Linked DNA regions of Xenopus tropicalis. The protein of the gene in region 1 interacts with the protein of each later gene in a pairwise test. Links are inferred from orthologs where the notes say so. Each region holds a gene or a part of one and is shown on either strand. Other genes may lie near its edges.

Region 1 (3,754 bases):
TGTTAAGAATGTTTCTTGTGTTAATAGTGTTAAAAATGACCTCCCAACTATATGGGATAGCTTTAGCAGATGTATTTTCTAACAGGTGACTTTTCAGTGGCAAAATCTGCCTCCCAGCTATCAAGTTTTACTCACAGTAGAACATAATTTAATCTGCATACTGATAAAGAACTGTTAGTATTAGTTTATTGTTCCTTTATGGTCATGTATAGTTGTAGAATTATACCATATAAAAGTGCATGTTGTAAAGTTCAAGTTGAACAGTCATCAGGAAGAGATAAAAGATCACCGCCCCTTTGTTTCTTCTGTTCTTTAGATTCATAAATGAAATTCTTTCTTTTTTCCTCAGACTGATTGCTTTTTTTGTTCCTCCTCACTTCTTGCTCTGAGAACTAGAAAAGCATTGGGGACGAGGCCAACCTCTTCCAAGGTACATGTATCATCTTCATACACACAGTAAGGGAAAGGGGTGATAATGTTGTAGGAGGAGAGATCAGGTGCCCTGCTTACAAAATATATAATAAGGAATGAGAAATAAACAGACTAAATATGTTATAGGATTTTAAAAAAACAAAAAACACATACCGGCACGAGGACAAGTAATTTCGCAAGTCGGCAAGGGTTTCTGAAGACAACATTCGCACTTTATATGTTTTATCACCAGACTCAGACCTGATCCTTAAAGTTGACACTACCATGTTGTCTTGTGTGCTAAAACAAATACAAATATTTATATTCTTTAAATCTTGTTGTATAGTTGTGATCCTACATCAGGAGAGAGAGAGAGATGGCAACACTGTCTTAAAGGAACAGTTCAGTGTAAAAATTAAACTGGGTAAAATAGACTGCGCAAAATAAAAAATAATATTAACATAGTTATGGAAAAATATAATCTATAATGGCAGGATTGAGCAGATGTCTAACATAATAGCCAGAACACTATTTCCTGCTTTCAGCTCTTAGTTAGTCAGTGACTTTAGGGAGGCCACATGGGACATAACTGTTCAGTTAGTTTGCTTTTGAATCTGACCTGTGCACTCACAAACTAACTGAATAGTTGTGTCCCATGTGCCCCCCCCCCCCCCCCCCAAAATCACTGATTGGCTACTGACTGATAATAGCTTAGAGAGCTGTAAAGGAGGAAGTAGAGTTCTGGCTGTTATGTTAGACATCTGCCCACTCCAGCCTTTATAGATTTCACCTTTGGCTAACTAACTATATTGAAACTATTATTTTATTTTGCACAGTTTATCTATTTTACCCAGTTTCATTTTTACACTAAACTATTCCTTTAAAACTCGCCAAAAGCAACATTCCAACAGTGTTCTTTACATTGTTTACAATTGTGCCATTATAGAAAGGATGGAGCCCCATGTGGCTACCCAAAGTCTTAGGGCTGATGGGGATAACTTTTATGGGCCCATGTACAGCAACACACCTTTTTGTGAAAATACATTAATAATAATAATAATAAAGCTGTTTTATTCTTGGCTTGAGAAAGAAAGCTTAACTGAAGGACATCAATAAAAAACGCTGGACTTTGAATAAATATAACTGTGACAACTGGATTTATGAGACAAAGGAAAACACTATATTTAATAAAAAAAATATTAAAAACAAAAACAGCAAAGATATTATGTAATGACTACCCCCCTTTAACCCTATGGAATACATTTTACTATCCGTACCTCTGCTCTTTTGATAGCTGTGGAGATTCCACTAAGATTTCTTTTGGCATCTCATTTTCTTCTGACCCCTTAGAAAAACAACAAGAGCTAACTGTCTGAAGATGCTCCACCAAACCCTCCGTTCCCATGGTCATGTACAAACCTGCAGAGCTTCTCTTACAGCACTTCGTACATGCACAATTCTACCCCCACGAATTACAGATTTAGGCAGTCTATTCAAGAACTGGTCAGTGGAAAGCTGTGGTCCTGTTGGTGGGCAGAATTTACAATGAAAATGTTCTATAAACCCTTAAGGGCTTGCCTTATTTTTAAAGAGAGCCCTTACCTGGTTTTTTGTTAGTTTGTAAATTACTTCCTGAGCTCCCAATAGTCTGACCAGAACCAGGAAAATCATCCCATCGCCGCTGCTCTTGGAAAATTACATTGCGGTTGTCTGTAACCTGCAAGGCAAAGATACTTTTCAAGAGTCCTTTTCACCTACATGCGTAGACTGTATTCTTCAGCAATTCTCTTACCTGAAATGTGACTCCATTAGGAAACCGGGCCTGCAGTTCAGAGGGAAAATAGCCATCCATGATATCTCTTATACATAGCTGTAACACAATGAAGGACAAATTATTTCAGGGAAAATAACTTCTTTCCCATCTGACATACCACTGTTTCTGTTTTCCTCACCTGTGTGGATTTTTCCTTGTAGGATCGAAAGGGCCCTTGGAACATAATAATCCCGTTTTTATACAAAGTCAATGGGACAGACTCGGGTGCTCTCAAACGGGCCCCTCCCTTTTGATACTCAATATGCGATTCTCCCTCACCTCCAAGTACATTCAAATCTCTTAAATTTTCCAGGACTAGATCAAAGTCTGGTAGGAAAGAAGTAGGTGAAGAAGGTCCTATGGAGATTAAAAAAATATTACTATAAATACAACTATTTTTAAAAGTCTCATATTACCCATTTATTTAATAAAAGTGTAAAGTGAAAACACCACTAGTGCTAAAGCTATAGGGACTGATTCCTGACAATAGGTGGAACTCCTACTTAAAGCATGTAAAAAATATTAGAGATGGGCCGAATCCCAGATTTAGTTTGGGATTCAGCTAAATCGGAGCCATTTTTAGCATGACATGGCCGAATCCAACCGCCTAGCTGAATCTGAGCCCTAAGTATTGAAAAATATTTGCAGCATGCCTTCCCCTGCATTTTCTGCTTCTGCTCTGGGCTTGGTTCGGTATTTAGCCAAATTCGTACCCAAGGAACTGAAATATAGGTTTGGTGCATCCCTAGTAAATATACAGAGAAGCAATATTTTTAGTTATTGTCAATCGGTGTGTTATAACATGGTTTTTCAATAATATGGAAAAGTTAATGCCTAGTGACATTTATTTCAAATACTAGAACCTAGGATTAAAGAAAATAGTAATTGTGGTGTATGCAAACATTTCACTTCTTCATTATTTAAGGTCCCTGGCTCTAATTACCTTAGCATTAATAACCATTAGGAGTTCTATTTGCCTGGCAACGCTGAGTACAGGCTTGTCTACTTATCTGATCAATGATACTGTAGCATTAGAAAACTACTTCCCATGTAGTTTAGCCCTTAATACACTGAATTTACACTGTTTAAACAGAAGTTTTCAGGGCTGACCCTACTCCATACTCCAGTGATATCCGAATAACAGATAGAAGCTTCTCATAGCCTGCTATGAACCGCTGCTTCCAAGGAGATTGTTTACAGTGGCAATGTTATAATCTACAATTACCTGGGCTCCATGTTCTGGCAGTGGATTCAGGTGAGACATCTGCATTGTTTTCCCCAACCCAGACCAGTCCATAATCACCAAGGAAACGCTAGGGAGGAACAAAACATTTCTGGGTCTCACTTATTACATAGCTATTAGAAAAAATATGGCACACCATACACACTCACCTCCATCTCAGAGATTTTTTTATTTAGTTCCTTACACTGGTGTTCCAGTTCCTGTTCTCTCCTTCCACTTGTGGCATTCCCTGTATGTAAAAATTGAGTTAAAGGACATATAAACCCTACATTTTCCTACCCACCATT
Region 2 (3,654 bases), on another chromosome or scaffold:
AATAAAACAGATTCCAAAAATAATGTACAATGCTTTTTCCTCCCGTGAGGGATGCAGCTGTAGTGGATAGGTCTTGGAAAGAGGATTGATGTAGATAACAGGCTTAAAAAAAAACAAAAACAACAAAAAGACAGTTCGACCCAATCCCAGCTAGATTTGAAGCTGTATAGAATTTTTCCCAAGAACCGTTGGGCCACCGGCCATAAAGCTACATGGTGGTGCTTAAAACTGAGAATACTCAAACTGAAAGCAGGTCAGCAAAGCAGGAGTAGATCCTTGTGTTCACAAAGCAATTTTGGTATTTCTGAAGCTTGTTTTGTCCCTGCAAATAAAAAAAACAGCCATTAACTCATGCACATGGCAAACAAACCATAGTATGCTGCTTTGTTCAATAACTCTCTAATGTGGGCCTGGCATAGCTAAGGGGGCAGTGCATGGATACATCTCCACTTTATTTGCTGTAAGCAAACATTCAAACACACATAAAATGATCATTTCTGGAAATACTTTCAAAAAAATGGAACACTCATTTCATATGTGTGACTATTTGGAAGAATTGTTTTTAAAAAAGGCCCTACCGCTGGGTGTGGGATGCAGGGAGAGGGGGAGAAATCATTCAGCGGCCGCTGTTGTTCACCAGGCCGTGAAATTCTTCCCAGGCCCTGGGCAACCAGAAATAAGAACAAAAAACAAGAAAAAAAAAAAATAGCACTTTACTTTACTTTAATCTAAAAAATAAGACTAACTGGGACTGATAGACATTTATTAGAAGTAACGGCTTGCTAAACTATAGCTGGAGAATGCACTGAAGGCTAAGGATTTCTTTCGTTTACAGTCCAACAGCCACCTCTCTTGAGTCAAGAGAGAAATACAAAACAAATAAAAAAAGTAGTGCAGTGGGGCTGCTGATCACACCAGGAGCATGTTCTTCTTCAGTGATTGCTGAGAAGAAAATATCACACGGCGTAAGATGCCACTCGCCAACCCCTCTGCTTTTTATAACCAAGTACAGCAAACAAAACTGTAATGGGACTATCCTGTAGTGCAGATCAGGAGTGAGGAGGCTGTCCTCTGGAGGGTGCCTATGGTTTTAGCATGGCTGCAGTTCTCCTTTAACTAATTAATTTTACATTTGGTCCAAAGATTACACAAATGAAGAATTACTTTTCCCTCCAGTGCCAGTAGAGGAAACGTCAACCTTGTGTTGTTCAATGATTTGGAAACTGTTTAAGGCTCCTTGCCCTTTCCCATCTTAAAGATGCCATGTGTGTTTTAGTGTAGCCCACTGTGTGAATCCCTACCCTGGGATCTGAGCAACCCAAGTTTTAGCTATATACCTCAAAGGTATTGGTAGGACAGCTACAGAGCACTCTAGTGGTAATAGCGCACAGAGTTTTGCCACACAAGCTACTTCAAGCTCATTGGTAGCCCACTAGGCATGTGATTAATTTGCAAATGAGCAATGTCACATTCTGAGTGATGATAACCTGAATGGGTGTACCGACCTAAGCTAGAAATGGTGCGGGAAGCAAAATGCACCATTTGTCATTATCCTAAGAACTGACCTTCATAAGCAAGCATCTGTAACCTCTCTTTTAGTAACCTAAGTTTGTAGCCTATCAGGATCCGCTGCAAGACCTCAGGCTAAAGACCTCAGACCTCAGCATTAACAATGATTAAACACATAATATGCAAAAAAACAGTTTTTCTAGTGCAGCTGGATAGGGATACCATATTCAGGTGGGGGTATCTATATTTATAGTAACCTCTAAAAGAGGTACTGTTGTACAGAAGAAACGCTTTTTGCAACATGGGTTGTTCTGCATGACATGAAACTGGCAACCCTAATTTCCCACTGAGCAGAGTACTCTATCCTGCGTGGCTGACTGGTCAGACTTTCTTTATCGGTTATGACTTATCCTGGAACTGGATGTCTTTGAACTTTATTCTGATGACTGGTTAAAAGTGACATAAAATAAGGACAAATTTTTATTATATGCCAGCACCTGGGACCAAAAACATATAAGCAACTTTTAAATCTTTGTATGATGAATCTGACTGATCAAGAATAATGGCAGTTTTAAAAATGAACAGGGAACAATAAACAGCTGATAATTCTAAACTACTCTAACTAGTAACAATGGATTGCTGAAACAATGTAAACATACAATTAGGTTGTAAATGAATTGACAAGCTTTACTTTGTATGCAAACTTTCATACCATGTATCTTTTTCTTGAGAGTTTAAATTTTTTGATTATTTTAACATTATTTAACATTTTACAATTTTGAGCAATCCAGTTCTGAGCCTTTCTCCTATGCTGAAGAAGGAAGCTATACCAAGCAGTCCAGCCGAAGCCTCTTGAGTTGGACGTGGCCCTCAAAGAGTTTCATAAAGTTCCCTGTGTAATTTTTAATATAATCTGGCCCTTGAAACAAACTGAATTTCCCATATATGTAAATTTGGGAAGCAATAAGCTACAGTTATTCTTAATGCATTCCTTAGTATAGTTTAGCCCATCAAAATTGAAATGTATTTTTTCATCATGATTTACAAGCTGAGAACTACATACTTGATGCTGTCTGTGTGCGTTTTGTATTCCATAACAGTGTTGGGAGGCAAATTCAGGACTCGCCGCAATGTGTCTCGAATACGAGCAGTGGTTGCCTGATCACTTGCAGTTTTGTTCCAAATAGATATGATGTCTTCCTGTGCATTCAATATAGAAAACGATTTCTTTTTACTTAATAACCATATCCCTGAATCACAAACATATTAAGAATTAAAACTCTTAGTCTAGATCGAATGTGTTTTAACTGTAAGCATGGGTAAAATGAACAGAGTTGGTAAGATACTACCATAAAGTCTTGATACTTACAAATGACTACATTTTTACTAACTCAAACTTACTGGCTAGGTTAAAGTTAAGGTGAATTTGTTTTTATTAGAGATAAAAACTGCTGTGGTGTTTCCATGACTTTTATTACACAATTCAGGTTTGGTGCAGATGGAGAGACTGGCAGCAGGAGGGGACAAAGTGCACCAGTTCAGCTAGAGAGGGATTTAGTGCTATTGTACATGCCTGGCCATGGTCATTCCTTTGCACATTGATCTGGTTGGCTAACAGTGTTAAATTAAGTACCAGAGAATGGACAGAATCCAAATAAGCAGATATTTGAAGCATTCATACAATATATAGGCTTTTGTATCACTTTAAAAAAAAACAAAAAACAATTATAGTGCGTACAGTTTTTTTTTTTTTTTTGAAAAGCTTGACCACTCTGTTAGGACTTTGCAAAAAGATAAACATCCCCTTTAATTGAAATTCCTAAATGTATTTCTCTTCTTTCCAGTTAAGGACTGATACCTGGTAAATGTGAGAGTGAAACTGGGCACAGGCCTTAAGTAGGCCACAGTCATATTGATAATCTTAATAATAATCTGCCCTTGCTTGAATGATTATGTTGATGTATTTGTTCCGCCTATCTATAACATAGAATTGAAGATTATTTATATTAGACATCCATAAGTACATGCACAAACAGATGGTCTGTGGGCGTACCTCTGTAGGGTGTTTGAAATCTGGTGAAGTTTGTAATTTACTTACACTTTGAAGCACACTTTGGTGAATCTCACCTGAAAACGCACAGAGAC
Region 3 (3,654 bases), on another chromosome or scaffold:
AGCCCCAAGTACCAATAGTGGTCAGAGGCCACCTACAATATACTCACATAACCCTGTGAAGAAAGCAGCCAGGACCCATTTGGTGACATCATTGGCGATTGCTATGTGACTGTCATGTATCTGCCATGTCCGTTCCCCTACAGTGACTCTTTCATAAATTCTACTGCAAGGGGACTGCATCAGTTAACAGATGTGTTACTTATGGTGGAATGCATGAAAGAGTCACTGTAGGGGAGAGCATGTGCGAGCCCTTTTCCCCTACCCACACATATTCCATTATGTTCCTACCCCACATACTCCCTAACTCCACATATGCTGTTCCTACAGTTACTTGTCACTTCCACAGGGCTGGGGCAGCATGTTCTTTCGGAGTACAATATGTCAGTAATGCTACTACTTTGTGTTTTGGTTTCTAGCTCTTGGGAGGGGGTCCGAATCATTATCTTGTACACAGCCCTGTGATTTCTCATGGCAGTCTTGTTCACATATAGGGAGAAATAGGATAACCTGATGGAGTGAACTTACCTGGCTGTTCAAGATTAGGGGGTTTAACTTTAAGGACCTGATTATTCTTCTTTTTTTTGCATTTTGCAGAAGTCTTTGTGTTCAGAGTTTGAATTATGAAGTATTCTAACTAGAAAATAAAATAGATAAAGGCTATGCGTTAGATAAGGATATGTGTTTAACCAAGCTAAGTAACAAACGTTTTTGCAGGTAACGTTTCTATCACTCCAGCAGCTGACGGATAGTACAGCTGGCATAAAAGAGCATCGCAAGGGCTGGCCTGTTATTTGCAATGTTGCTAATAACTTAAAAACTTGCCAAAAATTACTAATTACTCTCTCTAGTCAGGTACTCAATTGCTAATGAATAGGTACATTAAAAAAAACTCCATTAACAGAAAAACAGTCAGAGTTTGCTCTGTTGAAGCCAAGCTGTGAACTCTGCTAGGGGGCTAGAGCATTAGGAGCCACTTAGGCCTCATTCAATAAGTACTTGTGTCTAGGGTATTCTTATATAACTGCTTAGATCTTCTTTGTAATTGTAATCCATAAACTGCAGTGTAACCTACAAGGGAACACACAAATGTCTGAATAACACATTAGTTAGGGCAGTGCTGTCCAACTGGCGGCCCGCGGGCCGCATGCGCCCCCCCCCCTGTGTGGCCCCCCACCTGTCTGGCTGCTTTGATGTTTTACCTTGAGTAAGCATTAAATGGTATCAGTACTGAGATTAACTGGCCCCCTGCATGGTTCTCACCTCAGATTCAGGCTGTAATCCCTCTGTATTGTTTAAAAATGTAATCCCCTGTGTTTTTCACACCTTTTAATACCTGCATTGTTCACCCCCTGCAGTGTTCACACCTCAGGCTCAGACTGTAATCACTCCCATTGTTCACTTCTTCACACCTCAGACATAGGTAATGTAGGCAGAGTATGGCACATACAGCCAGCATAGGGCAGGTAGAGAATGGCACACACAGGCAGCATAGGTCAGGGAGGGTATGGCACACACAGGAAGGGTAGGGCAGGCAGAGTATGGCACACACAGTCAGGGTAGGGCAGGCAGAGTATGGCACACACAGGCAGGGTAGGGCAGGCAAAGTATGGCACACAGAAGCAGCATAGGGAAGGCAGAGTATGGCACACACAGGCAGGGTAGGACAGGCAGAGTATGGCACACACAGACAGCATAGGGCAGGCAGAATGCTGCCTTTGTGTGCCATACTCTGCTTGCCCTATGCTGCTTGTGGGAGGTGAACCTGGCAGGGGTTTGTTGTGGGAGTTTGTTAGCAGTTGGAAATAGCCATTAAATGGTCCCTAAGGTGTGTAATTATGTACTGGGGGTTGCTGTGCTATCCACAGGGGAGGAGGAGGCATATGGAATTTAAGGGTATATCTTAATATGACATAATTCTTTCACATATGAATGATGGTTGATATCCCCACAGTAAGGACCAAGCATTTGGGATTTTGCTGTGCTACCACCATTGTGATAAAATAGGTGTGGTTTGAAGTGGGTGTGGTTTCAAAAAGGGGAGTGGTCAAAACTGGCTTCCATTAGTGGCCCTCCACCATGTATGCTAGAGAAATTCCGGCCCTCGGCACCGTAGAAGTTGGACAGCACTGAGTTAGGGGATGGGCAGGTTGGGGTTAAGGATGGGTTACTTGTCCAGTTTGAACCTTTGTTGTAAATTAAGCAAGGTCTGCGTGCTCTTTTTTATATGGTTGGGTTTTGTTTCCTTTCTTTAAGATACTAAGACCAGGCATAGATTTTTTGTAAAATTGGAGAATATATACAGTACGGGAATAGTATATAAGCATATACATTTACAGAGGTAGCACATAGGTAAAGATCATAGTCAAATGCCAGATACAGTACTATAGAAACTAGTTAGGTATGATAAAATTATAAAATGGCTTTGCTGCAAACATCTGGAGAGTTGTGAATTAATGAGGAGATCAACAGAGCAGAAAGCTAAAGAAGGATAAAGACACATTTTGGGGGAAAAATGCTCTTAAAATTTCAAGATTATACAAAAACTGGAGACGGCGATGAATCCTTAATATGAAAAATTATAAACAAGAATGATCACTTTTTAAGAATCTACTGTAGTAAAGAGGAAATGATACAAGAGAGATTGAAAGAAGGTTGTGGACTAGGAGTCTGAGCAAGATAGGAATGGATGCAGGGAAGTGGGCAAGTAGGCAATAGAAAGAGGTTTAGTAGCTCCTGCGTAAAACCACACATAAAGAGGGCTTTAATATAAATGAAGCAAAACAGGATCTAAAGACAGTTGAGCTTTGAACCACAAATTAAATTTTTACATGCATTGCATTTTTCAGGATGCAGTTGGCCCTACTAAAGTAGAGGAAGAGCGGCCATAGAAAATGAGCCACAGTCCCTATCACCAAAGTGCCCACCACCCAGCCACCTCTTTTCTCTATCCCCACTCTCCCCCACCACTTCAGCACTACTTACTTTGCTGTTACAAATTAAAGATGGCCATGCTTTTCACGGTGGAATGCGCAGTCATTTTTTATATTTCACAGCAAAGCAAGCAGCATAGCAGAGCAGGGAGTGGCAGTGACAGGCTTGTGGGCAGCTGGAAGGGCCCAACAGGTTGGTGCCCACTGGGATTTTCCCAATACTCTAGTGGGCCAGTCCAACAATGCCAGTGGATGGAGAGAGGCTGGTAAAGTCTAGAATAGTACTAGGTACTAGTACCAGGCCAAACGTCAGGGCAGGCAGAACAGGATTGAGGGTAGAAAATCAGGCAGAAGCTCAAGCAGCAAACAGAGTCAAAACAGGCAGGAGTAAAAACCAGAAAGGATCATAAAAATAACAGCCAGTATAAAAGAAGGAAACCAACTCAATAACCAAGCAAGGATGGAATGTCTAGAAACCTAAAATAGGCGTGACACCCATGACACCCATGCATGATGGCAGAGTGGCTGGAGCGCTGGGGTATCTAGGACACAAAGTAAGTCTTACAGGAACACTAACCCCTCCACATGCTTCTGATGACGGCCAGACTGACAAAAAATGGGAGACCTACGTAAACACGTTTATACAAAATACAGCTCAGTCAGTAAGTGATAGATTAATACTGAGTAATTCCCTATATCACCAATTTGCAGGAACTCTTCGGAG

Evidence for each region. The genes of interacting proteins can lie anywhere in the genome.
Region 2: the proteins of ubxn11 (region 1) and eukaryotic translation initiation factor 4E type 2 interact in binary tests that used the Homo sapiens proteins (3 or more experiments, as listed by UniProt). The two-hybrid records come from large-scale screens. The link is inferred for Xenopus tropicalis from reciprocal best matches to the Homo sapiens genes UBXN11 and EIF4E2.
Region 3: the proteins of ubxn11 (region 1) and rhobtb3 interact in binary tests that used the Homo sapiens proteins (3 or more experiments, as listed by UniProt). The two-hybrid records come from large-scale screens. The link is inferred for Xenopus tropicalis from reciprocal best matches to the Homo sapiens genes UBXN11 and RHOBTB3.

What each region holds. Positions count from the first base shown.
Region 1 is NC_030678.2:77,353,689-77,357,442, forward strand, and holds the end of ubxn11 (UBX domain-containing protein 11), read right to left. Parts: intron 3,697-3,754; coding exon 3,617-3,696; intron 3,538-3,616; coding exon 3,450-3,537; intron 2,582-3,449; coding exon 2,364-2,581; intron 2,282-2,363; coding exon 2,204-2,281; intron 2,129-2,203; coding exon 2,014-2,128; intron 1,935-2,013; coding exon 1,831-1,934; intron 1,757-1,830; coding exon 1,689-1,756; intron 712-1,688; coding exon 586-711; intron 503-585; coding exon 346-502; 3' UTR 165-345; downstream 1-164. UniProt on the Homo sapiens protein: May be involved in the reorganization of actin cytoskeleton mediated by RND1, RND2 and RND3. Promotes RHOA activation mediated by GNA12 and GNA13.
Region 2 is NC_030681.2:101,897,798-101,901,451, forward strand, and holds part of eukaryotic translation initiation factor 4E type 2, read right to left. Parts: coding exon 3,637-3,654; intron 2,710-3,636; coding exon 2,573-2,709; intron 323-2,572; coding exon 283-322; coding exon of another isoform or gene 239-282; 3' UTR 1-238. UniProt on the Homo sapiens protein: Recognizes and binds the 7-methylguanosine-containing mRNA cap during an early step in the initiation. Acts as a repressor of translation initiation.
Region 3 is NC_030677.2:177,118,656-177,122,309, forward strand, and holds part of rhobtb3 (rho-related BTB domain-containing protein 3), read right to left. Parts: intron 635-3,654; coding exon 526-634; intron 1-525. UniProt on the Homo sapiens protein: Rab9-regulated ATPase required for endosome to Golgi transport. Involved in transport vesicle docking at the Golgi complex, possibly by participating in release M6PRBP1/TIP47 from vesicles to permit their efficient docking and fusion at the Golgi.